5 linked regions of the Xenopus tropicalis genome follow. The protein of the gene in region 2 interacts with the protein of the main gene of each other region in a pairwise test. Links are inferred from orthologs where the notes say so. Each region holds a gene or a part of one and is shown on either strand. Other genes may lie near its edges.

Region 1 (6,319 bases), on a different chromosome or scaffold from region 2:
TATGGAATCCATTATCTGAAAAAAACATTATTAGCTCCAAATTACGGAAAGGCCATCCCCCATAGAGAATGGTGCGTCCCTGTAAATAACCAAATATTGCATTTATGACACTGGAGCGCTGAGAGTCTGAATCACCTGCAATATATACTGTAGTAGTTATTACAAAACAGATCAGGCAGCCAAGTCATATAGCTAAGGGCACCGATCCATCAGTTATAATTTGATGAGATGCCTTTATTGATCCATATTCCAGACTAGAATAACATTTAAAAACCTGCTCTCCTATAGCCGCGACCCGTGGACATTCCCCCTCGTTGCACTGCTCCAGCCTCAAACCTGACATGCATGGGAAAGGCACGGCGTGTGTGCGAGCCGGCCACAGACATTCCTCCTCGATGCACTGCTCCAGCCTCAAACCTGACACGCACCAAAAAGGCATGGCGTGTGTGCGAGCTGGCCACGGACATTCCCCCTTGGTGCACTGCTCCAGCCTTAACGTTGGCGCACACACGAAAGGCACGGCATGTGTGCGTGCTGGCGCAGCGGCGCAGGGGGTGAGTGGTGGTTGCGCGCGTACTCCTGAACGCCTGAGCGCTGAATGCACATCAACGGGGTGAGCGCAGCCCGCATTACCGTATATACTCGAGTATACGCCGAGGGTGCCTTTTTAAGCACATTATTGGTGCTGAAAAACTCGGCTTATACTCTAGTATATACGGTATATTCATTTTTCAGATACCGCAATACCGGGGTGTCAGGGTACACACCCGCGCAGCCCGGTCTCGCGTGCGTCCCATTGTCCGCGGGACGTTGCACACACGCGTCCGTCAAAGCGCACGTATATGTCAAAGTGTGCACGTCCGCGACGCGCTGATGGCGCCAGTTCTGCGCATGCGTGGGGGGTATTTAAAGCTATCAAACGCCTCCTCCTGTGCTATGTTGTCTGCGGCCTTGCCTGGGAAACTAAGCCTGCCTGATTTACCTTACGACTTTATGTTGCCGATCCTTCGCTTGCCTGACTCTGATTTTCAATACTGCAGTAATTATTCTCTAATTTATTAGGAATTGGGGTAACACCTAATCATGCATGGAAAAAAAAAATACCATCAAATACCGTGACACCGATATAATTTTGACAAATACCGTGATATAAATTTTTGGTCATACCGCCCAGCTCTAAAGACAAATCAGATAGTAAACTAAAATACACGCTTAACATATGGGATAACTTAACCAACACAGGCAAATGGCAAAATACACCTACCCCACTCACCCCAGTCTTTGGAAATCCAGACTTCCCCCCCCGGATTAGATCTGGACAACTTTAAAGGCTGGAAACTACAATTACACTCCGGAGCAAACTATTTCTACACAGGCCAACAAATCAAACCAATAGAAGACCTGATACCAAACCGTACTATAACAGACTTGGACAGGTTCAGATACCGTCAGATACGCCACTTCCTCCAGCCTTGCCCAAATGCAATCTCCCAGACCTACCCTCACAGAAATAGAACAGATCTGGAATCAACAAAAAACACCAACTAGAACAATCTCTCTTCTCTATAAATGCCTTCTAAACCTATCCCCAAACCCTTCAGATGGCTTTAAAAATAAATGGGAAAATTACTTCCCAGTTATGTTAGATGCAGCCAAGTTACTAATCCCAACCAAATGGCGCCAAACTGAACCCCCTAGGATAAAAGATTGGCTGTATAAACTGTCGGAAATCTATAGATTTGAGGAGCTGAAACCCACATCTGAAAAAGAGTTAAGAAAATTTACACAGAAATGGTTCTATTGGAACCAATTCAAACACTCAGAGCAATATTTAGAATTAGCTGCAGCCTAAGATTCTGCACCTGAACCACTCCTTCAGGCATAGACCCCTATGATTCTTAAATTATTATGAAAATCAATCACAGCCTGTACTACACTGACCCGGGGCCCCCCCCCCCGGCCTCCGACGGCCGCACCGGGGATGCGGGAATCTCCACCAGCAACAACTTCACAGTCAACACCTCCTGGACCGGCGTCAACAAACAGAAAGAACGAGCTTCACTAATCGTAGCCGGATGGCTCCTATCCGTACCAAAGCAACGAGACCAAAGAATAATAATGGACTATAACATAGAATTCCTGAGCAGAATGACCTTCCTATCCCTCCCACCCCCCCCATTTCTCTCTCACCCAGTTACTGTCCCAGTTACTATGCTCTACTACCTCTCTACCTCAAACCCTTTTTCTATATATACCTATTTTTAACTTTGATTGTTTAAATAATACCGGACAGCACGCCACTATCAATACTTAATGTGACAACAGGTGAAAGGGACCCAGGAAGTAGCACCAGTATCGCAGGGCCGAGGAACGGCCCTTTACAAAGGGAACTCTTGAATACTGAAACAAGAGCTTAAGTTTTTCATGTACTGCTACCTGGTTAAGACTGATATCCACACAGATACTGTATAACCTGATCCTCTTTTACTGTCAGAAATGACTTTAACCTGTATGTGCTGTCATGGTTTGTTATGCTATAAAAATCAATAAAAAATTTAAATTTAACAAAATATATATATATATCTTTAAAAGATTAAAGTTACGTTAAATAAGAGAGTATATTGAATGTTTTGTACTTGCAAGTATATAATTCATTTCAATGTGTCTTTCAAAGGATTCTCCAATGACTTTGGGAGAATTCAGATAGCAAGTGTAATTTTCCTATGGAGCAGCAACACATACAGCCAGCAATTATCTCAGACCAGTACAAAAAGCAACGAATTTGAATGAAAGCAATGTTCCAATACTAATTCACATTCCTGCAGAGCAATGGCAATAACATTGGCAGTTATATATTTAATATATTTTTTAGAAGAGTGACATGACACAATAAGATGTAATTGGAGCCAGTCATGGCAAGCTACTATATTACAACATAAATAAGTGCTGGGGGGGGGGGGGGGGGGGCATGTGGAGCACAGGCTTGGCACAGGAGGCAAATCAACTAAGCCACCACCAAAGTTATTGAAGGCTTGGTGTGATCTGGCTCTGCCAGAGTGGACTTGGCACCTCCTTAATGACAACTAAGACATTTTATTTGGGAATCCTGAAGCAAACAATGCTCACTTGAGTGTAGGTGACATTAAGGGGAAGCGGACAGCAACGTAGGTGGTCATTCTAAAGTTACAATTCCAAGCAACTTGACATAAACCTTGCATTTTTTAACTGTCTGACTTAAGTGATTTTGTGTGATCTGTCAAGGCCATGGAGAAATAAAGGACTTTGATAAAAACATGGCCTTTTATTGTTTTATTTACACATTAAATCAGGCGTCATTTTGCTTTATGACAAGGAATTGTCATTATCATCTTCGTGTGATCACTTAGGCTAATTAAATCGTGGCTTATAGAAATCAAAACGTGTTCATGGATCTCCTGGAATTAACAACCTTCTATGTGTGCAGTAAATGCCTGCGATAACCATACCTCCCAACACAAGAATTCTCACGAAGCAGGCACCCTACAGCAGCCAGGCGGCTCCCTGCGCCCTGCCCATCCCTATCTCTACCGCTATTCTATTAGATAAGGCAAGCACCGATTTATTGCTTCGACTTACCGATAACGTACAGAAAAATACAGACTTGCTTAGGAACGAGAGAGATAAATGTCCGAATGAAGAGAAACCCAGGGAGAGGAGAAGGCGCTGTGCGGGTCGCTGCCCCGGAAATCTAGCACAGCTCTCACACACAGCTACTACCATCTGCGTTCCATACACCGGAAATGCGAAAGGCGTCTCAACAACCGGAATAAGATGTGATCCCTGCTGTCACTTTGCGTTCCAGGTTGTGAAATTGCGAGGTTGAGAATGCGATGTTGTGATTGGCGTTGCGGGGATTGGATTTATTAGAGGCTGATCCACGGGACGGTTTCGAACATTAAGTACTCCGGACTGAGCAGAATCTCTCATACACACAAGATGGTAATTGTTTTGGTCGGGGCACAATTCCCAGTGTTTGCTCAATAAGAGAAGGGTGCGCTGCAGGGCTCTGGAACGCATGCACGGGCACACGTGTGCACATACGATCTTTCACCTCAGTAATGCAGGTTCTTGTAGAGCACAGAGATATATGGTAGGGGCCTCCAAGCTTTGGCCCGGTTACTGCTTTATCGCCTGCCGTGGGGGACAGGTATAGATAACCTAGAACTCCTCCGCTCGGTTGTTTTGGTTTGCTCGATATTTGCTATATACCTGCCGAAGTGTGCATTAAGTTTATATATGTCAAAGTACATACATTGTATTTGTAAGCACAAAGCTTGACATACGTTATGCAGCTCCACTTGGTCTATTGTGTAAAGCAGGGATCCCCAACCTTTCTTACGCGTGAGCCACAGTCAAATGTAAAAAAGCTTGGGGAGCAACACATAAAAGTTAATGGAGGTGCCAAATAAGGGCTAAGATTGGCTATTAGGTAGCCTCTGTGCACACTATCAGCTTACAGGGGGCTTTATTTGGTAGTAAATCTTGTTTTTATTCAACCAAAACTTGCCCCCAAGTCAGCAATTCAAAAATAACTACCTGGTTTGGGAGCACTGGGTTGGTGAGCAACATGTTGCCCCCGAGCCACTGGTTGGGGATCACTGGTGTAAAGAATGCTAATTCCCTCTTTTCCCAAATGCATTGTAACTGTACATTGTGGTCTTCTTGGATTAAACAGGTACATTCTGGAAAAGGTTAAAGGTGCAGTCAGCAATAGTTTTCATATTGGCAGCGGAACTAAACCTCCATAATGGCAGAGCGGGGGGCCCATATTACCACCACTTCGCTGTCTGATGACCGGCCCAGTATTTTTGAGGTGGTGGCTCAGGAGAGTTTGATGGCAGCTGTGAGGCCTGCTTTGCACCATATTGTGAAGGTGAGTGCAGACTGGAAACACTAATCTCTATTGTTACATTGCTTTTTAACTACACATTTAAGTAAATTAAGTATTTCATATTTGTTTTGTCTGATTTTACAGCTTTGTGTTTTTCCTGCAGCTTCGTTGCTGTATAGTTGTGATTGTTTATATTGTCAATTTTCCGGCTTTATTTTTTTCTTTATATTGTTTAAAAAAATGTTTATTATGTAAACCTGCAATAGTGGATTTTTTTATCTGGCTATTCAATGCCATTTTAGCTGCCTGTAAATGGCTGTCCCACACAACCCTTTTGTGAGCCTGCTAGTAGTGTAAACTAAAGAAGAAAAGAGTCAGGAACACCTCAAATAGATTGTAAGATCTTTTTTGCACAATTTATATTGTAATTAACTGTGCAAAAAATATCTTTTATATTACTGCTAGAAAAAGTGAGGACTTCAATGTAGTTAGCAATAATGTAAAATGCATAATAAAATAATTAAATGAAAACTAGGGATGCACCATATCCAGGATTCAGTTTGGTATTCTGCCAAGATTTAACAGGAATCTTTCATAGCCTAATTTTCATTTGCAAATCCGAATTCAGATTCAGTTTGGTATTCAGCCAAATGTTTCACGAACGACTCGGGGTTTGGCTAAATACCAAAATATTGGATTCAGTGCATCCCTAGTGACAACCATATAATAAAGTTACCACCCAGTATTAATATCCTTATGGTAAGAAATGTAGAGGTTTATATGTGTAAAACCACATCTGAGTAGATAATTAAATATTAACAGAGCAAATAAAATATTTACATATTTAACACCTCATTTAACACCGTACCATTAAATCTAGGCATCAGCAGGGATATAGTCAACTTTAAATCCAGATGCCTAGCAGCATGCAGTGAATCACTATATTGTACAACATGGGGTTCATGTTAAAAAGGATAAAATTAGCATTAGGCTAGCAGTGGCATTTAAATGTGCTTTGCTTCTTTGTATAAAATGGTTCACTGAAACAAAGCTTCCGTTCAACAGAGAACACAATCAATTAATTTGCAGTCTAAAGGGGTGCCAGTACACTGAGCTTCTAATTGCATAGTCTGGAAGTCAATAGGGAATAACACTTAACTTGCCTCAGACCTTACAAATGGCTTAAAAATACAGATACATGCATAATTACAAATATTAACTAAAGTACACAGTCATGTGACAATATACAGGAGAGAGTAAAAGTATAATACAACTCTCCAGATAAGATCCCTACTTGAATATAGTAAATGTCAAGTCCCTTATTTGGGGAGTCACATTTGACAGAATACAAAAGAACAAGAATGTTTAGGTATAAAAAACAGCATTAATGCTTTAGTGGATATTTCTCCCCATCTTTTAATTCAGCTTTTTCTCAACTCATTCTAAAGT
Region 2 (5,817 bases):
GAGTTAATCTCAAGCTGCAGGCATACCTTCAGTTCTCTCAATAGTGCCCCTAAGTCTCCCCATATTTCACCTGTTCAGATGATCAGAAGCTAAACAGGAAGAAAAAACACTGAGCTGTGTAAAGTTCCCATAATGCCTCACTCCTGCACAGACACCCAGACCAAGTGAACATGCTCAGTTAGTAAGACTATGAGTCAGCTTCCTGTTGATTGGCTCAGATCCACATTCCTAAGGGGGGGGTGAGTTCTTAGCATTCTTGAGGGAGGAGGGGAGCAGGGGAGCAGCAGAGAGGAGAGAGCTGAAAGCTGTGTGTCTCTGGCAGAGGAAAACAGACACAGCTAATCTTTTTACAGATAAGTCAGTATAGTGTTTCTGTGAGTGTTTATTGCTGTATTTACATAGACATTTCTGATAAAGCTTCTGGTAAACCTTTTTTTCTGTCTTAAAATGACTCTAAACAACCCCCAGAATAACTTACCTTAGTCCCTGCATTCAGTCTGATCTGGTTTCTGATTTATAAGTTGAAATCTCCAGCTCTTTTCCTCTTCTTCCTGGTACAGCATGAAGCCCTGCCTCTCTTCCTGTTCAGCTCTCTATAGTGGAAGAGGGCAGCTTTCTGGGAATGCACAGTAAGTCAGGCAAGTTATGTATGGGAACTGAAAAAAAACTGCTGCTGCACACTGGCTTCTGCTTCTCTGTACATTCCCAGAAAGCTTCTTCTATGTCAGGCTTACTACTTCTTTAAATGAGTAGGTCACGTTTAAATGACCCTTTCATATGATGCAGTGATGTTCTAAGATAATTTGCTGAGTGCCTTTATTTTTATTTTTTGGTCAAGCAGCTTTCCAGATAGGAATTACAGCAGCTGTCTGTTTGTTAGGTTCTAGTTTACCCTAACAACCAGGCAATGATTTCAGTAAGAGACCTGAAGATGAATAGTTAAGGGCCCGAAGAGAAAGATAAGTAATAAAAAGTAACTAAAATTGTAGACTCACAGGGGATGTTGCAGTAAATGACCCTATTTTAAGCTGGAAAGAGGCAGGAAATATAGGCAAATAATAAAAAAAACTATAAAAAAAAAAATAAAAGGTGAGCTACCCTTTAACATTCAGTGAGCTAGGCTAGTGCATAGAGCACTATGTAGACCCAAACTCAATGGCTGTTTTGTTGCCATGGTAATTATTATTTTCTTTTAAGCAGTTCCCATGCATGGCTGTTTTGTGCTTTCCTTTATAATTATTGATGCGCTTCAGTCATGTAAAAGTATAACCTCTCCGTGACAATTCCAGTTAAGCAACTTTCACAATGTTTTCTGCATTTTTCTAACTTTCAAGCATTTCAGTGTAATGCCAAAAATGTTGCACTATTTCAGTTGTTTACAATGCAAGGCATTGGGCAGGTTTGAGGTTGCTTTGCAGCAGTTCTGAGCCCATTTCATTAAAGCACAAAAAAATCTGTTCCCAGTCATGGCTTTCTTATTGGTAGCACCAAGCTGTGTGGCTTTGTGCTTTCACAGGCAAGCAGAAAATGATGCTCTGTACTGCTTACTAAGGCTGAAACCTTCCATGGGAGCTGTGTGTTCAAAGGCAGCTGGCAGTGAGATTTCTGTTATACTGTGATAGTTGATATTTTACGTTTAAACAAACACACTCAGCTGAAATATTTTTTCTGTTCATACACTGAAGGTTGGGTTTTGGCTAGTTTTTCCAGCTAATTTATTTCAAATACAGTTCGCTGTTACTGGATCAAAATAGAAAGTAAGATTAAAAAAAATGTGTTCCATATATATCAGCAGTTTTTGTAAACTGGTGAGGTTTTGGCCACCAATGTATTGTATACAAGTTGCAGTAAATGTTCCCTGTGTGCCATGCACTCATGCCAGTAAACAGAGTTTGAAACCAGTGCACTCAGAGAATTTATAGGAACAACCAATCTTCTGTTTATTTAGACTATATCAGGATGCATGAAATGTGAAACTTGCAGTGTGTAGAGAAAATAAGGTTCTGTATTATGATATAAAGAAGGAAGCAATGTTGTTTAGAACATATAGTAATCCAAAGCACATGCTGTTAAGAAGGGCAGATTCACAGGTGTAGTATGTAACTCCCTCTGTAATATGATGACAATTTTATTATTTTATATAAACTTATTTTGCAGTGCTGTACAATAGATGGATTTATGCATAAATAGAAATACTGATCAATACAGAAGGTAAAGAGAGCCCTGCTCATTATTGCCGTTTGTTTTAAAGGTCCTTATTTGCCGGAATTACCGCGGTGATGTGGACATGTCAGAAGTGGAGCACTTCATGCCAATTTTGATGGAGAAAGAAGAAGAAGGAGCACTTTCACCAATTCTGGCGCATGGAGGTGTCCGGTTCATGTGGATTAAACACAACAATCTATACCGTATCCTATCTGTTTTGTAGTTTTTATGTCTGTTTGAGTTTTTCTTTCTTAATCTAAATCTTTTTGACAGTGGTCCAATTCAGTAGTTAAATTACTTCAGTCACAATCAGAATGTTTATTCCTACAAAATGTTTTGACGAATGAGTGGTCTAAAACATATCATGGTAATAAACCAGAACTGTTTTGCACACACTATAGATGACTGTATAATGGCTCTGGTGACTTGCTGTTACTACTTTTTTTTTTTTAAGTTCTATTGTCAATCCAGGATTCATGGTCCGAGCAGTAGGGCTTTATAGCAGTATAGCCATTTTGTTTCAATTAGCACTACTTGCACCAGTGTGACAGGTGGAAATTTAAACTGCTCTATTTCCCAATAGTAAGCAAGCCTGTAAATCTGTGTATCCTAAGGATACACTAAATGCAGGTATTCAAATACATTAACTGTATTTGAATTGCAATTCATTTTAAGATGTTCTAGAGTATATATATATAATCTGAATATGAGTAACATACTGAATGTCATCATCTTCTAAAGGGCTCCCAGTATCCCCTGGGCAGGTGCCTGCACAGTACAGACTTTATTCGTAGATTTCTGTACTGCACATGCAGGATGCACTGAAGAAAACAGCACTAGCATAAAGTGCGTGAAAGTACCTTGAGCCAGTGAGTTTTTAAACAAGAGGAACGCTGGCCTCTGGGGTTGGAGATTACTATAGTCACTAGAGGGGTGCCTAACAAATTGGAACCCCCAAGAATTTTATCTTTCATTCTCCTTTAAAGGCTCAGAATTATAATTTTATATTTTGCAGACTTTGATAACGGAGTAAATAATTTAGTATAATCTAACATGATTTCTCCTGCATAAAACCTAGCAGCCTCTAAAATGAATTGTTTGACCTCTAACATTTAAGGAGCATATCTATTAGCGGATTTTGCTTTTCTAGTGGTTTGTGAGTTTGTGAGTATCTTACAGAGCTAGCAAATTATTTTTCCGTACAGATGTACAGACTTAAGTTGCTGAACTGCACTTTGTGGCAGAAAGGTGATTTCAGATCAGGTACGACCCTCTAGATAACAAAATAGGGACATCAAAAAGGGCACTTATCGCTAAATATTTGTTTCCCCAAGAGCAGCTATGGCTGACCGAGTCCAAATTTCAGATTGATAAAAAAAGTACTACTTTAAAGATGTGCAGTCAGCCATTATGGGGCATAATTATGAACCGTGTTCCACAAGCCAGGACACTTGCTCAGTTTGCACAGTGCCTAAACTTTGGGTAACACACATGTTCATATTAAGCAAGTGTCATGGATATAGGTTCCTTTTAACCATTTATAGCAGTAGTTTTGAGGCTGGTGAGCCACTTGAGTAAATGACTTTGTATTAGGAAATGCTTCACTCATGCTTGGGATCTCCTTCATAAATAGTAATAATAAAAAAATAACAAATTACCCCCTTTCACACATACACAACATTTCCCAATATTACTGATTACTATATTAAAATGTTCATTAACACTGTTTGGTTATATATATCACTCCATTATGCATTATGTTTGCAACCTGAAACATTTGTATATCTGTATTTTTGTGTTATATTCACCTTGACAGTATTTAGTTGTTGCAACGTCTAAAAAGAATGCCTGTGTATCGTTGGTATTCTCCTTTCTGTACAAAGTAGTCCAGGTGAGTATTTTGAGTAAATAAATATGTATCAGTCTCTTTCACACATTCTGCAAAAGGAAAAAAGGTTCAGGCAGTCACTCTAGTTAAATGGTGCTAGTAATACAAACAAATCCAAAAACACTATACTATCATTAATAAGAACATTTGACTTCTGATACTCGTGGACAATACATAAAATGAACTACATCATTAGAACTTTGTCTGCTGAGAGTTAAGAGGCCACTAAATTAATTAGTCATTCCCATTAGTACCATGATATGTTACTGTTTCTAAAGATCTGACTGGAATTTGTGTGGTCACACAGCAGATTCTTTGTAAGACTCAAACCATTGGAGTAGTGACCTGTTTTTCAGACAGTTTAAATTCCATACCAGTGTGTTCCCTACTGTGTCTACTAGGAGCTGCTTGGTCTGTTCTCCATATTGTAGATATGCTTATATATGAATGAAGAATAAAGCTGGTTTACAGATTTCAGTCTAATTTCCTGTTAAGCAATTTGTTCCAAATTTGAAGATAATCATATCAACATGGCAGATTAGCAGCTACATCTTAGGACCAATAATGGAAGGAGAAATGAGAAAAAAAAATCTGAAATTTTAGATCTAATAAAAAGGTCTGATTCTCAATAGCTAATTGCTTTTTGTTCTTTATTTTATGCATAGTCATATCCTAACTTAGTGTTTTGCATAATGTGCTGTATTCAGTTAGTTACAATAACTTGTCCATATATTTTGCATTTGACATACATTTGGTCTGAAACCTATTGAACTTTTTGTGTTTAAAGCAGAAGGAAGAGGCATACTGAATTGCATTGTTTGTTTGTATTTTCTAGGTATTTTCTGAGTACTTTAAAGAGCTAGAAGAAGAAAGTATCCGTGATAATTTTGTAATTATATATGAGTTATTAGATGAGCTAATGGATTTTGGCTATCCTCAAACCACAGACAGCAAAATCTTACAAGAGTAAGTGTCTGGTGAAGTCATGCTTACTTCATTTTTCTGTCCCTTCTTTCTTTAAAGGGTTTTTCATCTAAACAACATTTAAGGTGGTCAGTTTCATACATAATTTTGTGTGACTTTCAGTACATGTATGGCGGTCTTACAGTCCCCACTAATATCAGATTACTTTGTATATTGGTCACTTTGTTGATTGGCCCCTTTGAGAAATGAATCTGCCAATTGTATAGTGTATTGGCACATTGGGAAGTGAAAAAACAACACAGATCCTGTTTATTTCCTGCTTTTCCAATCACTTTGGCTGTTTGCCACACAAAGTCATTATGATTATTTCTGAAAATATTCTGATTCTAAGATCCTAGCTATAAAGTAGATGTGCAATGGTTTTGTTATTTATTTATTTTTGCCAACAAAGAAACAGGGACTTGTGAAATTATTAACTGCAGAAAAGGCAGCTCTTACTTTTGTATTATAAGTCTTATTTTTGGATTACACTTATTTTGCATGCTTGACTGTGTAAGTGACGCATGTAATGACATGTCGATTGCCCCCAATGTTTTACTATATACACAAGAGATCATTTATTAACTGCAGGTAAGAGCAAAAAAAGTGTTTTTGCACGTTGCGCCCTGAATCTTGAGAAACTCCTGCAAAACAATGTGAATGGGATGTTCATGGGAACAGGGCTGTATTCATGAGGGGCAATTAGGCACCCCCTTCCTGTCACCTATCTGACCCATAAGTTGACAATAATGTCTGGCAGG
Region 3 (6,496 bases), on a different chromosome or scaffold from region 2:
CACAAATAAGTGCAACACTGATACCATCAGGTCAAAGTGTTTCCAGCTGAGCACACTACCATCTTCCAATGTAAACTATTTCTCCATTTATGAATGCATCAGGCAACATGGGAAGTTCTCACTGAGAGGGACTACTGCAGTCAAAACAAGCTGTGACCCACAGACTGTTAAAATCTAGGATACAAAGTTCTACATAAGCATTAAACTGACTATATGTTTTGTTTTCCCAAAATAAACGTAAAACGTACTAGCCCCATTAGTCCTAGAGTTTTTGTAGCCAAAGTCAGTGTGGGCCAATGATTCTAGAATCAGTCTACTGTAAGACTGGAGAGAAAAGCTCAAATGCCCCATTTTAAATTCCAGTTCAGGGATCAAATCAAACATTAGAGCAAATGTACTGAGGCAGGTGTTGGAAAACACTGATTCAACCCCCTACCATTTTTATCTGCTAAAAATCCCCATACACAAGCACATTGCCAAGCGAGCGGATCTTCACCCGATATCCCCACCTATGGGTGGGCGATATCGGGGAGCGTTTAGGTAAAAAAAAAAAACAATCGCTTGGCCCTGGGGCCAAACGATCGGATTATGTGGGCAGCAATGGGGAAGTCGGTTCTAGGACCGCATCAACGAGCCGATGCGGTCCCCGATCCGACTGAATTTTCTAACCGGGCCGATCGATATCTGGCCAGGCAGGCCCCTCGTTTCTGCCCCTACATGGGCCGATAAGCTGCCGAATTTGTCCAAGGGACCGATATCAGCAGCTACTATCGGCCCGTGTATGGGGACCTTTAGGGATAGATGCATCCAATTTATGTCAAAGCAGGCAAACAGTGGGCCAGGCCCGGATTGAGATACCAAACAGGCCCTGAAAATTCAGGAACACAGAGGCCAAAGAGCCAAACACAGGCCCAATAAGGGTGAAGACACACTAGTAGCAGCTACTACAGAAATAGCTACAGAAATAGACAATGCTGATCGTTTACTTATAACTGTCTCTGTGTTTTAGCAGAGGCAATTCTCAGTATTGTCTATGGCAGGGTATTTCTGGAGTTTAGTAGCCGTGACAAGTAGCTGCTATTAAGTTGCTCTGTGTGTCTTCACCCTAAACAGTGACTGTCTTTGTGGATTCTGGCAAAGAAGCTGCTGTAAGATGCCAGATTGCCACTCTGAGGCTGAATTGGGCCAAGTAACTAACAAGTAGATGCTAGCTTCTAGTGGGGAAATGGCATCTGTGATTGCGACATTAGCCCGAGAGTCATACCAATTTCCTTATTTTTACATAGCGGTTATAGAAAAAAAAAATAATCAATAAGAAACCTTCCAGACAATGATGTGCTAATCCTTATGCCTAACAAAGGCTGCAGCTGGGGTAAATCTGTTTATATAGAGAGGGTGTGATTCTCAGTGGACTGGTTGTTTGTTTTCACTGTATCCTTAGAACCAGGAAGTAGAATTTGGCTTTACTTTCAGTTTCAGCCCTTTTAGAGCTTGAGATAAAAAAAACATCTAATTAAAAGGAAAATAGAATGTTCAATACCAACAGATTCACTGCAATAAAGTGGAAAGGGGGTATAGTGCCCTATTTGCTGCCTGTTTTCCTGAGTAGCGTGGTGGGCCCCAGGGGGTTAAAACACCATTCTCTAGGTGCCATGTTTTAACCATGACATTGCTATTAAGGTTCAGATGTGCCTCTGCTAAGGCGATTAAAGGGGACCTGTCACACTAAGAAATAATTCCAAATCATTTTCTATCATGTTAGTTGAGCAAAATAAACTTTACTTACACTATATAATTTTTTTTCCCTTCAGTCTTGGAATTTACAGTCACGGCAAGCAGAAAGCCGCCATTTTATGAACACTGTTATTAAAGGAACAGTAACACCAAAAAATGAAAGAGCTTTAGAGTAATAAAAATATAATGCACTGTTGCCCTGCACTGGTAAAACTGGTATGTTTGCTACAGTAACACTACTATAATTTATATAATAAGCTGCTGTGTAGCCATGGGGGCAGCCATTCAAGCTGTAGAAAAGGCACAGGCACATAGCAGATAACAGATAAAACACTATTGTATTCTACAGAACTTATCCGTTATCTGCTATGTGCCTGTGCCTTTTCTCCTTTGAATGGCTGACCCCATGGCTACACAGCAGCTTTTTATATAAACTATAGTAGTGTTACTGTAGCAAACACACCAGTTTTACTGATAATTGCTGAGTTGACCATTTCTAACAAGACATACTGGAATTGCTTATTAAAGGAACAGTAACACCAAAAAATAAAAGAGCTTTAAAGTAATAAAAATATAATGCACTGTTTCCCTGCGCTGGTAAAATTAGTGTGTTTGCTACAGTAACACTACTATAATTTATATAATAAGCTGCTGTGTAGCCACGGGGGCAGCCATTCAAGCTGGAAAAAAGGAGAAAAGGCACAGGTTACATAGCAGATAACAGATCAGTTCTGTAGAATACAATAGTGTTTTATCTGTTATCTGCTATGTGCCTGTGCCTTTTCTCCTTTGAATGGCTGCCCCCATGGCTACATAGCAGCTTATTTATATAAATTATAGTAGACTTTCTGAAGCAAACACACAACTTTTACCAGTGCAGGGCAGCAGCACATTATATTTTAGTTACTTTTATACACTTTCATTTTTTGGTGTTACTGTTCCTTTAAAGGAACAGTAACACCAAAAAATGTATATATTTCAAAGAAATTAAACTATAATGTACTGCTGCCTTGCACTGGTAAAAGTTTTGTGTTTGCTTCAGAAACACTACTAAAGTTTATATAAACCCTGGTGTGTAGCCATGGGGGCAGCCATTCAAAAGAAGAAAAGGCACAGGTTATATAGCAGATAACAGATAAACCCTGTAGAATACAATGGTGTCTTATCTGTTATCTGCTATGTAACCTGTGCCTTTTCTCCTTTTTTCCAGCTTGAATGGCTGCCCCCATGGCTACACAGCAGCGTATTTATATAAACTATAGTAGTGTTCCTGAAACAAACACCCCAGTTGTACCAGTGCAGGGCCACAGTACATTATATTTCAATTACTTTAAAACACTTTTTTGGTGTTACTGTTCCTTTAAGGCAAGCTTTGTTTCACCCCAAAATCTGCCATCTAGGTGATATCTAGGAAGTGCTGAATGGAAAGTTAAAGTAATTGTAATTAAAAATCTGAGCTGTTAATCATATATTGCCTGCCCCGCCTCTATGCCGGAGGCATAGAGGCGGGGCAGGCAATATATGATTGACAGCTCAGATTTTTAAGTCTATTTATAACAGGTATGGATGATTTAATTAAAAAATTTGGGTTACATGCTTAATTTCTGAAGGACTTTTATTACATATCTTTTTATATGTGCTTCACCTCTTGTATCAGTTATTGATTGCTTGATTATTAATAATAATAATGTGGGTGACAGGCACCTTTACTGTGCCATTAAGGCATAACCTCTCATTGCTGTGAGCCAAGGTTGTGTAAAACCAGTTTATAGTTCTATGAGATACCATTAATTGGTAAAGGAAGTGCCAGTTAGAATACAGGTGCCATTAGCAAACACATAAGAGAAAAGAGAATGAGCACAAGGGAAACCCCACACAACCTATTTCATTCCCACAATAACAAGAAGCCCGAATGCTGTGAGAGTGTATCTAGGCCGGGAGCCAATGACGATAGTGACAGAGACTGGTGGGCGGAAGGCGGAAGGTACACGCATCAGTCCCATAAAGCTTTGCCTTGAGGCATCTAAACCCACCCAAAACCAGCAGGTAAAACCCCACAGCTGAAGCCTAAAGCATCTCACCTTCGCCATTATCCGCAGCGCTCAGCGAAACAAGGAGCAGAAGCAACAACCAAGACGCCTTAGTCGCCATCGTTACAGGAAATAAGTGAGATAAAAAAAAAATAGGTATTTCCGCTTTCCTGTATCCGCGCCGCCATCTTTCTACACCTTGAATGAAGTCAGTGCTACGGATGTATCGCCGGCGTTTGAATGTTCGACGGTGAGTGTACTAATATGGCCGGCCTTGGCATGATTTGGAACTGCTCATGTTATTGCTGCTGCTGCTGCTGCTGCTGCTGCTATTACACCTAGTCATGCATAACTATGGCAATTATGTAAAAAACCTATTCTTGGCTAATATATATAACTTTCACTAAATGAGATATATACCTTATAGATGTATTTGAAGATTTAATTTCTCTGTGACGGAGTGGACACTTATTTACAAGGCCTGGGCACAGGTATAGGGATCAGTTTGGGTGATGTTGGATTAGTGACCCGCTTGACAACTTTTGAGTTTGGTAACCTTAGTCCCTCCATTTCCCAGTGTAGCCCACTTTAGTTGGCAGTGCTGCTACTTGCTATTACTTTGGCGCTACAGGAAGGGCCAGAACTAGGGGTAGGCAGAAGAGGCAGCTGCCTAGGGCGCAACGATTGAGGGGCGCCAGGCAGGAGCCTCTCCTGCCTACCCCTAGTGCTACTTTGTCATTGCCTCTGCCGCTTGTCATTAGCGGCGGAGGCAATGACCGATCTAATCGTCCCCCCCCCTGCACTGCCTCCTGTGCTTTGGCATGCGCATGCGCGGGGAGGTGGGCTGAGTTGGCCGACCGGGTTGCCTAGGGTGCCGGTCGGCTTGGCCGCCCCTGGCTATAGGAGTCCTGAGCCCCGCTTACTATGGGGGACAGGTGCTGTACAGTTCAATGGTGGGCCTCCACCCAGGGGTGATACTGTGAGACCATAACTCACAACCCTGGGAACTTGATATTGTACGTTAATCCTTGACTGGGACTCCACACAACTCCCTGCACCTTGCCCCTCCCTTGGGGTATTTGCTTACCGGCCAGTAGGTGATCCCTTGATAGGAAAGAGACAGACACAAGTGGGTATAGTGAACGAGATGAATCTCTTTATTCAGGGCAGACCTCTCCAGGAGTGGAACACATTCATCAGGGCACTGTCTCCTTAACTTCAGTCTTAGAGAACCTCTCTCCTGTTGGGTTACCCACGGTACTCCCACCAAGTGATCCTACCTAGGACCACCTTTAGGTGTCTAACTCAAAAAATCCAACCTCTAGTGCCTAACGGGAACCCATCTAAGGGGCTCAAGTCTGGGGATCCCTACACCAGTATTCAATTAATATTTGAAGACTACTAAGATTGGAGATAAATATTACTGGTGATGTTGCCAGTAGCAACCAATCAGATCTTGCTCTTGATTTCTGACTTTTAGGTGACAGTTCAAATCTAAATGCTGATTTATTGCTATGGGCAACATCACTAGTGATATTTATCTCCAATCTTAGTACACATGACCCTAAGGGGTATAAGTTGCTCATAGCAGCCAATCAGATGCTTTGCTTTGGTTTTCTAACTGTTGAAATGTAATTGCTGATTGGTTGCCCTGGGCAACATCGCTGGTAACGCTGTACACTGCTTTTTACACAGCATGATAAATATAGTTTGTAGTTCATGACAGGGTCACAGATTGCCTAAGGCTGAGGTTAAAAGAAAGGGTTTTGTTGGTGGCCTCTTGCACACAGAATAGTATTAAATACTGATTTTCAGTGACCCTAACACTTGGGATGCACCAAATCCACAATTTTAGGATCGTTTGTGAAAGATTTGTCCAAATACCGAATCCAAATTTGGAAATTAGGAAATGGAAGGTTTAAAGAGAATCACACTTTGTGCACGGTGAAAAAATTTAAACTTCTGACAAACAGTCACATGATTTTAAGGATTTGGATTCAGATTTGGTTCAGCCAGAGGCGTGGATGGGGCCGAATCCTGCTGAAAAAGGCCGAATCCCAAACCGAATACTGGATTCGGTGCATCCCTACCTAAAACAACAGGGCCATATCAGGTCTAGAATGAGTTTAAGGCTGATGCCACACGAGGCGTTTTTCCGCTGCGTATTTTCTAATTCTCTCGGCGGCTGAAAAACGCCTGATATCATCATCCATAGAAATAACTTGAAAAGACTCGAAGCAAACCACACAATGCGGAAATACGCTAGAAAACGCCTTAGCACGGATTTTTCAAGCGTTGGCCGAAATACGCCAGTATTTGCAAAGCAAGCTATTCCTATGTATACACAAAGGCAGCTGCCAGATCTAGCGGAAATACGCCACGTTTTTTCCTATTTTGCACTATTAGCACCATGGAAACGGGATTTGCTACGTCACTAGTACTAGGCTGAAAAACGCCATAGTAAGGGGCTGTGTGGCTTGTGCTGCGTTTTTAGGCTGAGAAAAAACGCAGCGTAAAAATGCCACGTGTGGCATCAGCCTAAGATAGGCCCTGGCATTTCAAAAACACAAAGGTCCAAATAGGCCTGATAAATAATGACCAATGAAATACAGATTTAGGCTTTGAGAATCATCATACTTTACATATACCACTTTCCATTTTGGCTTTAAAGGGGTGACTTTTAATATGTTTGTCTATGAATGTCTTATTAATAGTAATTTTGCAACAGGTCT
Region 4 (5,817 bases), on a different chromosome or scaffold from region 2:
GGAAAATGAAGACGCGGACAGGTGCAATTTGGTCATGTGCACTTTACATTTACTTCTATGTAAAACACTGAATAATTGGGAAGTTTTTTTTTTAAATTACATACACACACACCTTAAAATATAGCTTGCAATTTTTTTGTCTGTTTTATTTATTAATGTCTATGTATGCTGATAGTGAGCAAATATTTTTTTTTACCACATCTAAGTTTATACATAATTAAATGTGCTTGGTTGGAAGAATGTGTGGGCAAAGTGTGCAGGCGCACGAGGGGATCTGTGTGCATGTTGGAATGAATAAAGTATGTGAGGGGGTAAAATTACACTGCCATAGCACTTATTATGGTAATCAATGAACAGCCTCTTTGAAATCTTTCAATACCTGCCACGCTGGTTGTCCAGAGGTTAATAGTAAGGCTGCAGCATCCCCTCAATCACCTAGATTTGCTTCTCCTCCTGTAACCCACTCGGTCCCCTCCTTCAGAAATTTGCTTTGGCTGTTGGCTTGTGGGCATGCTCAGTTGTTCTAAGCTCAGGTTACTAAACACGCCCCCAGTCTAGCAGCCAGTAAAGAGATGGCATTGCCATAGAAACTCAGCTCTAGCTGTCTGCTTTAGTTTTTTTTAACTCAGCTTTACCATTACAGTGCTCAAACAAAGCAGAACTTTTATCAAAGACAGTTTTGCCTGTGTGAGCCTGTATTCTTGATAAAATGTATGCTGAATAAGAGTTTGTGTGTGTGTGTAGGCTGTTTTCAGATTTAAATGTATCCAATTATGTTTCAGAGGAAAAATGGCCACCAGGTGAAAGCTGCTATTTGGTTTAGGAAAATGTGATGGTGCTGGCAAACGGCGGGGATATATGCAGTACAAATGATGCCATTTGGGTGGGGGAAACGTGCCCAACTGATATACATTGTAGGCAAATGTAGGCTTTACATGTCCTTTAAGAACAAATCATTAGTTTCAAGGTGCAACTCATGGAAGTGGTAGATGCCTCTGTATTTGTGTGTGCATGGGTTCCTCTGTTTGTAGGTGACTACATGTATCGGTTAATGCATATGGGTGTATAAAAACCTAAAAGGGTATATCACGGAAACACAGTTTTTTGAGTGAATAAGTGCATATATGTATCTGTGAATGGGTGCATGGGTACCTGCAAAACTATGTCATAGGACTCCTTTTTCCCCCTCAAGCAAATTGGGAGAAAGGATTCAGACTATTCTTTTCTTAAGTTGAATAGAAATTAGTAATTTTCACTAGGTTTTTTTTTTAATGAGTTGTTGCCATTGTTATTGCTTTGTAAAGAAAATATTGGAGCATGACTATGTCTGCAATATTACGGAGAATTAAGCGTGTATGTACCTGCTGGATTACAGAAGATTGTGTGCATATATGTGCATTATGTAAAAGATGGGACCCTAAATGAGAGCTAAATGAGAAAGGTTTAATGACGATTGTTATACCTCGCATGATGTGTGGTTTGGTAATGATTCCTCCAAACCAGTAATGTCATGACCTTTCATATGACTCTTCAAACTATACTGGGTGCTGAATGTCTTCTCACAGCCATCACTGGTACATAAAAATGGTTTTTCTCCTAGTAGTTGGAAACAAGGGAATAAGAATGTGTTACTATGGGTGCAAAAATGTTATAAAATAAGAACTAGACATTCAGAGCCCAATTTGCCAATTCAGCAAGAAGATCAATTACAGATGTGGCACCAAACACAAACTGACCTTTACTGGCCCAGGATGCTCTGTACTTTTGCAAGCAGGTGGGATAGTAACCTGCTTATTTGCCCTATTCTGTGAAGGAAAGCCCTGTCCCTCCTACTGTATGTACCCATCACAGCATTTTTTTTTTCATGATCCCAGCTGATTTTTACAGCCACACGCAGAGAATGTAACTCTAAAGAAATATACCCTAATCCTGTGAGTCTTGTTCTTCATAATGTAGAAGTGATACTGTGGAACGGTGTGTGTAGAATTGGTATTTTGTTATAGGTATGCCTATACAGCTTTTACAGGTACATCAGTAATATCATGATGCCAGTGTAAAGTAAATCTTAATTTAACAGAAGCTATATGCTTCCAACCAAAGCCTATAACAAACAGATCTATTTTATTAATTTCTTATGGAGTGTGGAGACTAGGCTGCGTCTCACAGACTCCAGCCCCACGCAATATAGGATAAAGTCCTGATTTGCCCAATTACCTTTTACTTTCCACTGCATGCCCTCCCTATTTATGTGTTTCTAGGTAACATCAGACAGGAAATAAAGAGAGTTCTAGATACCAGTGAATTTGTGCATTTACTACCCAGTGCAAGAGGTAGCACAACAAATAAGAGCTAAATTCAGGACATGCTTGAGGAGGGTAGTGCGCGAGGAACCTCATATGGACAGTGTGGCAAATCTTGGGTTTCAATATTATATGTCATAAAAGAAAATATAATTACCTTTCGTTAGTTTTAATCACAGCAGGTATTTTCATGTAAATTAGAAAAATGTTGTGTAAATCTATAACCTAATCGCTGGGAGCAGTAATTGCTTATTATCAAAAGTGACAAACATTGCCAATCCCTGATTATATTCTTCCCTTCTGTGTAACACACCCACAAATGCTGTTTTCTATACCTGTATGCTTCCTGGCATGCGTTTTAAGGTGATGACTTGCAGCAAATGCCTTTCCACAGCCATCATGATCACACCTGCACAGACAGAGTAAATTACAAGAAACAACCTGAATTTAAAAACACAGAAAGTAAATATAGAATGGCACATTACATTAACCCCTTGGCTGCTACAGACTGTAAATGATATGTCAGCGGCTGTAAACGACATGACTGCTTATCATGTAGGATTGATGTTTCTGTAGACACCCCCTTGTCAGACAACTGTTGGTCAGAAACACTGACTGCCATGATTGCAAAGCAAATAGCAGGGAGTGATTCTGAATGTATTATCACCTGCCCCAGGAGCTATTTACTAATGCAGCGCCTCTGCATGTTCAGCAAATAATACTAAAATATACCCTATAATCTCGATTACAGCTGCATAAATGACAATAGCAGCCCATGGAAAACACAGTTATAGAGATATTCAGCAAATTAGAATTGTGTGCCTGTTGTGATGTGAATCACATGTTTATGATAAATTTACAAATGATTATGTATCATAACAAAAAATGATCAGAATATATTGGTCACTCTGCTAAACAAGTTGTGCAAACCAACAATGCAACTTCTTTGCCAGAACTCCATGATAACTGCATCCGCCATAAACATGTGCAAAATACTGAGACTATAAAGATCATGGCGAGTTAGAGGGTTGGCTGCGCTTTTCCCCTGTGATGTAGAGGGTGGCATGTGGGCAGGGCATAGGTGCTCTGACATTTTGTGTGATACTGAGTGCCCATAGATGATGCAACATGCATCCTTTACCAAATACATGGAGAGATCTGCGCCTTGGCCTTTATGCACCAAAGTGGGAGCAAAGGCAAAGTGAAATATGACGCCTGCAAAACCCCAATGGCACATGGGGCTTATACTCTACCAGGGTATTTCAGAAGCCAAAACCACCACTGCTGTGTGTCTCACTTAAACAGGAAGTGCATGACAGCATGCTGAAATACACAAGTGCAGAAGTTGCCCATGTGATACAGTACCAGTTCTACTAGCCCCTTCCCACCAATCTTATTTAACATTAAAAATGGCTTTGAATATTTCCAGTTCAATTCCATACTAATATATTATTAGAAGTATTCGTTCCTTCAACTGTCCTTACTGGCACAAAGTTACAAAAGAAAACAAAAAACAAGCAGTCTAAAGAAATGAGACCAACCTAAATGGTTTCTCCCTGGTGTGGGTGCGAATGTGCTTCCGCAGATCACTATGGGTGGTAAAGAATTTACTGCAGCCTTCTGTTACACAGTTAAAGGTTTCCCCTGTGTGAAGCCTTTGGTGTGCTCTTAACCTGCAAAAAAAAAAAATAAATAGTGGACCTCTTCAGATTAGTTTAGCAAACCAGAAATAAATGGTACATGGTAGCATTAGCATGACTTATATCCCTTCAGATATCACAATATATTGTATTTAGGGCACTTTAGTTTTAGGCTACTGTCATATGTCGGCCTTGGTGCAGATACGCAGAGTGGATCTTGGTAACAAAATGCATACTCACACACAATACAGTACCAAAATCTGCTCAATGTGCCTGCAACCGGGCCAACGCAGTGGCTCCTGATATAGTCACACATGTAGGGTGAGGCAAGCATAGGGGCCTGCGTTTATCAACAGACCAAGAATCACCCTGGTCTGGCGGTAGCCTTAGTGATGGAGACATATATGTGTTATATTTCCACCTAACCCTGGGCAAATTTGCAGCTGGACTGTAACCCATGGTAACCAATCAAATTTTTGTTATCATCATTCTGCCTGTAGCTGGCTAAAAAAGTATTATCACTTGTTAGTTGCTATAGGTTATTGCCCAGTGTCCCACTGTATGGAATTCATTATACTTTGATGTATCCCAAGTTATTACAAAATACTAGCTAATTCTCCCTCTTTCTACACACCATATGGTTAAGAATTATAATATAAAGTAAGCTTGTTGTTTTAATTTTGTTCCTAACATATTATCACTTATCAACCAAACTACATCTATATACCATGAAATGAAGATCTGCATATATGTATAAAATTGTATACTAAGAATATACATTTGCATATTTTACAAACTTTTTTAAACACGTGTGCTTAATATTGTAACAGCACACACAACAATTTTCAATTTCACTGAAAGTCTCTTTCCACTTTACATCAGGATGTTCTTGTCTGACCAGCTGAATCAGTTGCTCATTAGCAATGACAGCTACAAACCCCACCCAGGCCAGCATGTGTACAGAATATCTCTCCTAGCTTTTAATATTCCAGGCACAGAGTTGTCTCAGCAAGACAAGCCATGCCCCCTGTTTCCTGAGACAGAACAAGAGCCACAAAAAGGCCACTAAGCACACAGACCGCTTAACTAACTGGTTACACAAAAGATTTGTGCTTAAAATATCTCCAAAGTAGGCATATAATGTTTACTAAAGCTTTTTACACAGTTACAATGGACAAACATTTTGTGTTAAACTACTGAGCAAGCCTTTGGTTTTGGCAAGCAAAGCATTCTCACCTGTACAGGGTGTTAAAAGCTTTCTCACATCCTTGCACATCACACTCAAATGGCTTTTCCTTAGTGTGCACGCGGACATGGATTTTCAGGCTATAAGATGTAAGAAATGCCTTCCCACAGCCTGATTGGTTGCAGACAAAGGTGTATTCTCCACGATGAGTCTTCTGGTGAGTCCGCAGGTTTCCAGCTGTACTATATGTCCGTGGACAACCTTCAAATGTACATTGGTATCTCTTCACCTGTAACAAAAACAAAGAAAGATGCAAAAGATCAGCCTCTGCCTAAATTCAGGGTGTTATGTTACAGGGGGCAGTATACACCCTTTTTTCAACATCAGTTCAACTTTGTGTATATTATTTTTTTTTACTCATATAGAGCACCACAACAGGATTTTTTTTGTTTTAAAACAAAACAAAAACAAACAAAACCTTCATTTGAAAAAAAGGGCTGTGTCCTGAACAGCAGCAGCTATACAGGTCACAGCCCTTTCTTTCAAATAAAGGCTTTTAAAGATCCTAAGATCCTGTTTATAAGTAAAATGGCCTTAATGCACCAGTGGAAAATAGCCATTGTGCAATATGCACAATCTAATCACAATGTTTTTGTATGCTACACTGTCAAATGTTGTAACAGGGGGTAGA
Region 5 (6,603 bases), on a different chromosome or scaffold from region 2:
GGGTTTTCTGGCTGATCTTGTCGATGTTTTCCACCGGGCAGAACCTGGGAAGCCCCACTGTGTTCCCTCGGTACGCAGCCTGGAGAAACAATTATGCAGAAAGTCTATTACTCCCACAGCAGGAAGTTAAGAGTGCAACTGAAAATTGCTTCCCCCTTTATAAAAACCACCATATTCAATGCTATAAATGCCACGTGGGATATACGGACAGTACTTACTGCATGTATCATTTCTGTCAGCAGGGGTTCCGGGTCCGGTCTCATGTTCAGATCTTCCAGTTCGAACCGGACAGCCATACGGGTCATCTCAATCTCTTCCTCTGTAAGGGAAGCAGGTTAGGTGGGTGTCCAACGGGCAGTAAAACCTAATTGGGTGCTTATAGGAGGTTGCTTTCTGGCAGGGAGTTAAGATATCCCTTTAATATCACAGCCGCTGTCCTTCCAAGGAATAACAGGTTTAGTTACCCTTTAACCGAAGTGCTCATAGCCACTTACCGGAGAGCCTGGGTTGCAGAACCACCTCAGACAACAGACTGACGACTGTATCCAAGCCCTTGGAGTCCGCAGACACGGCGTACATGGTGGTGTCTCTGAAAAGGAGGCCGACAATAGGAACTCAGTAGGAACAATTGCACCAACACTGACTTGCTTTCTGGCACTCAAGAGTCACTTACCTAGAGGTCTGGCAGTCACAAATGCCTCCGTGTTTCTCCAGCGTGAGGAGGATCTCATCTTTGCTGCCGAACTGCGCTGTGGACTGGAACACAATGGTTAGTCGGGATGGGCCCCGGCAGTCACGTGCCCGCTCACACCCGCACACTGGGTGCCCCACGCCCCTGCACCCATCGCTGCCCCGGTACTTACTGAAAAAGCCAGTTTTTCCAGAAAGTGTGAGATTCCGCTGAGGTATTTAGTCTCGTACCGCGATCCGGAGTTGATAAGAACTGTGAAATAAACACCCCACTGTTACACACCTTCTTATCTGTAAGAAATCCAAGTCCAGCTTGGGACTCCTCCAGTTACATGGGAGTAGGAGAAACAATAGGTTAGCTGAAAGCAGTTCTAATGTGTAGCGCTGGCTGAAAGCTCAGACTCAGGCACACTTTACTGCTGCGCTGCAAGTTGGAGTGATATCCCCCCCCCCTCACCCCCAGCAGCCGATCAGCAGAACAATGGGAAGGGAGCAAGATAGCAGCTCCCAGTAGGTATCAGAATAGCACTCAATAGTAAGAAATATAAGTCCGGCTTGGGACTCCTCCAGTTACATGGGAGTAGGAGAAACAATAGGTTAGCTGAAAGCAGTTCTAATGTGTAGCGCTGGCTGAAAGCTCAGACTCAGGCACAAGGCACTGAGATGGCGCCTACACACCAATATTACAGCTACAAATACATTTGTTGGTTGAAGAATAAAAGGTTAAATGGCAGAGGGAATTATTTGCTGTGTAACAGTGTCATTTAGAGAAAAAAGTGCCCCATAAACATCATGGCAGTGTCCCTGGGTCTGCCCATCATACTTACTCCCAACTGTGCAGAACTGCCCGAATTTGTTCTGCGACGCCACCCGTAGCCCATTCTCCAGGGTGGTCACTTTCGTTTCGAATTTCTCCTGCCCGTCGACTTTGGCAAAGATGGGCTTGGGGAGCTTGGGGAGGGGCGTGGAGAGGGGGATGCTGGGGTAGGCACTGCCGGAGCTGCTGTAGCGCCGGTACCTTGGCAGTCCATATCTGAAACGCAAAGCCGATATTTCACCCACATATACAGCTAGCTAGTTGCTAAGGCTTATTGACCATAGCAACCAATTCACTGAACTGGAGCACAGTTTCCAGCCCCCCCAGTCAGTGCAAGTCATGCCCCCATCTCTGTGCAGGGTTGGAACCTGTCTAGCAGCAAAGCCTCAGCCCAGGAGCAGATTGTTTACTATATGATGCAACCCCATGCAACTCCTACTTCTGCCCTTACTTATAATGGGATTGTTTTATTTTATTTCTCTTTTTGGGGGATCCCATAGCACAACTCCTTGCAGGGGTAAGCAATTTGCTTTTGCCCCTGACATAGCCAAACTACAACTCCCAGCATGCCCTGGCAGCCTGCAGTTCAAAGCCAAGTGTAAAGCTGCAAGCAGGATATCCGGCTCTTATAGTCTAAAATACCCCCCAGGGTAGAATGTAAGCCATCAGCCACCCCGCCTTGGGGTATTTACACACCCAGATCATGTTCTTATGTAAACACCCCCCTCATCACGTGACATTTCCCTCCAATGCGGGGAGACCCAGCCCCTGTCACCTACCGGCGGGGGTAAGTCCCATCCCGTTACCCCAGGCAGGAAGGAAAGGCCGTACTAAAACCCCGCTTACCGCTGTATTCCACCCCAGAGCCGACTCCTCGCTACATTCGCCGCCATCTTTCCATGCCCCGCCCCCTGACCTCCTCAGCACAGGCATGGGGAGAGCCGGATAACTTCCTGCTTCCGGTGGGGCGGGAGCGTCACTTCCGGGGAACATGCCTGGAGGAACTGAAGTAGCTGGCAGCTTGCTCTTACTTCTATGCAGCCTTCTGAGTATCCCTCACTCACATGAGTGCCCACTTACTGAGTGCTACTAGCCCAGTGCCCACTCCATTAGTCTTTAGCAATTTCCTAATGTTTTACCTGCCCATTCCTGCTTGGCATCTCTACCATTCCCTGCTGAAGGTATGAGGGGCTCTGCTGCCTGTAACCCCCACACCCCCTGCTAGCCCCCCCAAGTGCCTTGTTGCCCAGGATACAGCCATGTCTGGATCTTCCAAGCAGCCACATGCCAAAGGCAAGACCCTCATCATAGAGGACGGTGAGTATCAGTATCAACCTTATAGTAACATAGTAAGTTAGGTTGAAAAAAGACACACATCCATCAAGTTCAACCTTAATGCCTATATTTAACCTGGCTAAATGCCAGTTGATCCGGAGGAAGGCAAAAAAACCCCATCTGAAGCCGCAGAGGGGAAAAAAAATCCCTGCATGTACCCTTCTAAAGGGGAACTCTGCCCACAGTCTTCATTGGTTCTGACTCCTGAAGCGATGTAGGAGAAGCCATCTGACTGTCATAGAGAACTGATGTTGGCTGCACATTTTCAGGTGTCAGAACCTTCCTATATGTTTTTAGTTTGTGAGAGTTGTTAAGTCTTGGTTGAATTCCTTAGAAATCACCCCACCTGAGACCCTTATAATGCTCGATCGGAGAAGGAAATGTATTGATCCGGTCAGGGTAGGACTAGAGGGTGCAGGGGGGGTCCAGCGGCCCTGCAGGTGCCCTTGCTGGCCGCATCTCCTAACCCCCCCCCCGCAGGGGCCCCCCTAACCCCCCGCAGGGTCCCCCACCCAACGTCCTCCCCTGAGCGCGTGTAAATTTAATGTATCATGGGTCTGGTCTGGGCCGCCGGGGCCCACCAGGATTTTTCCCGGTGTCCCGAAGACCTGGTCCAAACCTGGATCTGGCGCATCAAGCTGACAACCAATTGTTTTATTCTTTGCAGACTGTGAAGCAGAAGCCCTGGATGAAGCCAACCCATTCTCCTTTAAGGAGTTTGTCAAGAGCCAGACCTTTCCAGGATTCGTTTCCAGTAATAGTAAAAGGGCTTTCTCTAAGGTGAGTACTGTGTATTTCTGGGTATTTATATAAACTATAGTAGGGTTTCTGTAGCAAACACCCCAGCTGTACCAGTGCAGGAATGGCTGCCCCCGGGGCTACACAGCGGGGTATTTATATAAACTATAGTAGGGTTTCTGTAGCAAACACCCCAGCTGTACCAGTGCAGGAATGGCTGCCCCCGGGGCTACACAGCGGGGTATTTATATAAACTATAGTAGGGTTTCTGTAGCAAACACCCCAGCTGTACCAGTGCAGGAACGGCTGCCCCCGGGGCTACACAGCGGGGTATTTATATAAACTATAGTAGGGTTTCTGTAGCAAACACCCCAGCTGTACCAGTGCAGGAATGGCTGCCCCCGGGGCTACACAGCGGGGTATTTATATAAACTATAGTAGGGTTTCTGTAGCAAACACCCCAGCTGTACCAGTGCAGGAATGGCTGCCCCCGGGGCTACACAGCGGGGTATTTATATAAACTATAGTAGGGTTTCTGTAGCAAACACCCCAGCTGTACCAGTGCAGGAATGGCTGCCCCCAGGGCTACACAGCGGGGTATTTATATAACAATATTAAATAGCAACATTACATTATATTTTAATTATAACATTTTTATTTTTTCCTGTTACTGTTCCTTTTATATGGTCATGCAACATTATTCCCTATATTGCCCGTTGCTCACTATTTAAAATTACAGTGTAATCTCCCCCCCACAGGACTCTAACCAATCCACAACACAGTTTCGTGGACCCAGCGAATGCCCAGATGGGAATCTGGAATTCCAAGAGACGTACTTCAGAGACCCGACGCTGTATGATGACTTACAGGAGGATGAGGATGACGACTGGAGTGGCAGTTACCACCCTTCTGTTATAGAAAACACTCACGGTCCCAAAGTTCCCTCTCCCGCTGGCACTGATGGGGATGAGTCTTATGGATACGGTGCCAGCGACATGTCTGGCGATGGATTAATCACAGGTTGGCAACAGGCTGTCCTTCCGTCTCCCCCTGCCGGCTTGCATGGGAAAACCCAACATCGCCCTGACAGCACCAGTGACTCCGAGGAGGGTTTGCGACTGCTACAGATAAACTGTGAAGAGGTAAGTGAGGAAACGTTCAGCTGCGTTTTACGTAAATCCATCCGTTCCAGCGGCAAATATCCCAGATAAGGTATTTGCAAGAAACCAAAGCCATTGTTTTAGTCAGCTGCTTCATTGATTCAACAACCAGATGCCCAACTCTTCTTACATTCTTACATTCCACCTCTGTTGGTTTATCGTTCTTCAGCTACAAGAGGAGAATCTCCATCTAAAGAGCAAGATCTGTAAACTGAAGGAACTGAACGACAGCCAGAATGAAAAGTAAGATATTTCAGTCATTATTACTGCCATCGTTGCCCTGCATTGGTACAGCTGGGGTGTTTGCTACAGAAACCCTACTGTAGTTTATATAAATACCCCGCTGTGTAGCCCCGGGGGCAGCCATTCCTGCACTGGTACAGCTGGGGTGTTTGCTACAGAAACCCTACTATAGTTTATATAAATACCCCGCTGTGTAGCCCCGGGGGCAGCCATTCCTGCACTGGTACAGCTGGGGTGTTTGCTACAGAAACCCTACTATAGTTTATATAAATACCCCGCTGTGTAGCCCCGGGGGCAGCCGTTCCTGCACCGGTACAGCTGGGGTGTTTGCTACAGAAACCCTACTATAGTTTATATAAATACCCCGCTGTGTAGCCCCGGGGGCAGCCATTCCTGCACTGGTACAGCTGGGGTGTTTGCTACAGAAACCCTACTATAGTTTATATAAATACCCCGCTGTGTAGCCCCGGGGGCAGCCATTCCTGCACCGGTACAGCTGGGGTGTTTGCTACAGAAACCCTACTATAGTTTATATAAATACCCCGCTGTGTAGCCCCGGGGGCAGCCGTTCCTGCACTGGTACAGCTGGGGTGTTTGCTACAGAAACCCTACTATAGTTTATATAAATACCCCGCTGTGTAGCCCCGGGGGCAGCCGTTCCTGCACCGGTACAGCTGGGGTGTTTGCCACAGAAACCCTACTATAGTTTATATAAATACCCCGCTGTGTAGCCCCGGGGGCAGCAATTCCTGCACTGGTCCAGCTGGGGTGTTTGCTACAGAAACCCTACTATAGTTTATATAAATACCCCGCTGTGTAGCCCCGGGGGCAGCCATTCCTGCACCGGTACAGCTGGGGTGTTTGCTACAGAAACCCTACTATAGTTTATATAAATACCCCGCTGTGTAGCCCCGGGGGCAGCCGTTCCTGCACTGGTACAGCTGGGGTGTTTGCTACAGAAACCCTACTATAGTTTATATAAATACCCCGCTGTGTAGCCCCAGGGGCAGCCATTCCTGCACCGGTACAGCTGGGGTGTTTGCTACAGAAACCCTACTATAGTTAATATAAATACCCCGCTGTGTAGCCCCGGGGGCAGCCGTTCCTGCACTGGTACAGCTGGGGTGTTTGCTACAGAAACCCTACTATAGTTTATATAAATACCCCGCTGTGTAGCCCCGGGGGCAGCCATTCCTGCACCGGTACAGCTGGGGTGTTTGCTACAGAAACCCTACTATAGTTTATATAAATACCCCGCTGTGTAGCCCCGGGGGCAGCCATTCCTGCACTGGTACAGCTGGGGTGTTTGCTACAGAAACCCTACTATAGTGTATATAAATACCCCGCTGTGTAGCCCCGGGGGCAGTCGTTCCTGCACCGGTACAGCTGGGGTGTTTGCTACAGAAACCCTACTATAGTTTATATAAATACCCCGCTGTGTAGCCCCGGGGGCAGCCATTCCTGCACTGGTACAGCTGGGGTGTTTGCTACAGAAACCCTACTATAGTTTATATAAATACCCCGCTGTGTAGCCCCGGGGGCAGCCGTTCCTGCACTGGTACAGCTGGGGTGTTTGCTACAGAAACCCTACTATAGTTTATATAAATACCCCGCTGTGTA

Evidence for each region.
Region 1: the proteins of ap1m1 (region 2) and ap2b1 interact in binary tests that used the Homo sapiens proteins (3 or more experiments, as listed by UniProt). The link is inferred for Xenopus tropicalis from reciprocal best matches to the Homo sapiens genes AP1M1 and AP2B1.
Region 3: the proteins of ap1m1 (region 2) and tgoln2 interact in a two-hybrid assay, tested with the Homo sapiens proteins (2 studies listed by BioGRID). The link is inferred for Xenopus tropicalis from reciprocal best matches to the Homo sapiens genes AP1M1 and TGOLN2.
Region 4: the proteins of ap1m1 (region 2) and mtf1 interact in binary tests that used the Homo sapiens proteins (3 or more experiments, as listed by UniProt). The two-hybrid records come from large-scale screens. The link is inferred for Xenopus tropicalis from reciprocal best matches to the Homo sapiens genes AP1M1 and MTF1.
Region 5: the proteins of ap1m1 (region 2) and entr1 interact in binary tests that used the Homo sapiens proteins (3 or more experiments, as listed by UniProt). The two-hybrid records come from large-scale screens. The link is inferred for Xenopus tropicalis from reciprocal best matches to the Homo sapiens genes AP1M1 and ENTR1.

Annotation. Positions count from the first base shown.
Region 1 is NC_030678.2:93,513,746-93,520,064, reverse strand, and holds the start of ap2b1 (AP-2 complex subunit beta), read right to left. Parts: upstream 3,810-6,319; 5' UTR 3,616-3,809; intron 1-3,615. Other genes in the region: pex12 (peroxisome assembly protein 12), read left to right, coding at 4,787-4,912. UniProt on the Homo sapiens protein: Component of the adaptor protein complex 2 (AP-2). Adaptor protein complexes function in protein transport via transport vesicles in different membrane traffic pathways.
Region 2 is NC_030677.2:98,841,236-98,847,052, forward strand, and holds part of ap1m1 (AP-1 complex subunit mu-1), read left to right. Parts: intron 1-2,251; coding exon 2,252-2,408; intron 2,409-4,028; coding exon 4,029-4,096; intron 4,097-4,928; coding exon 4,929-5,059; intron 5,060-5,817. UniProt on the Homo sapiens protein: Subunit of clathrin-associated adaptor protein complex 1 that plays a role in protein sorting in the trans-Golgi network (TGN) and endosomes.
Region 3 is NC_030679.2:126,815,511-126,822,006, reverse strand, and holds the start of tgoln2 (trans-Golgi network integral membrane protein 2), read right to left. Parts: upstream 3,925-6,496; 5' UTR 3,886-3,924; coding exon 3,816-3,885; intron 1-3,815. UniProt on the Homo sapiens protein: May be involved in regulating membrane traffic to and from trans-Golgi network.
Region 4 is NC_030678.2:83,691,758-83,697,574, forward strand, and holds part of mtf1 (metal regulatory transcription factor 1), read right to left. Parts: intron 5,416-5,817; coding exon 5,177-5,415; intron 3,974-5,176; coding exon 3,842-3,973; intron 2,710-3,841; coding exon 2,636-2,709; intron 1,597-2,635; coding exon 1,463-1,596; intron 1-1,462. UniProt on the Homo sapiens protein: Zinc-dependent transcriptional regulator of cellular adaption to conditions of exposure to heavy metals. Binds to metal responsive elements (MRE) in promoters and activates the transcription of metallothionein genes like metallothionein-2/MT2A.
Region 5 is NC_030684.2:6,497,349-6,503,951, reverse strand, and holds the start of entr1 (endosome-associated-trafficking regulator 1), read left to right. Parts: upstream 1-2,562; 5' UTR 2,563-2,766; coding exon 2,767-2,824; intron 2,825-3,509; coding exon 3,510-3,622; intron 3,623-4,338; coding exon 4,339-4,722; intron 4,723-4,909; coding exon 4,910-4,983; intron 4,984-6,603. Other genes in the region: pmpca (mitochondrial-processing peptidase subunit alpha), read right to left, coding at 1-79, 219-319, 495-589, 674-756, 864-943, 1,518-1,723, 2,354-2,400. UniProt on the Homo sapiens protein: Endosome-associated protein that plays a role in membrane receptor sorting, cytokinesis and ciliogenesis. Involved in the endosome-to-plasma membrane trafficking and recycling of SNX27-retromer-dependent cargo proteins, such as GLUT1.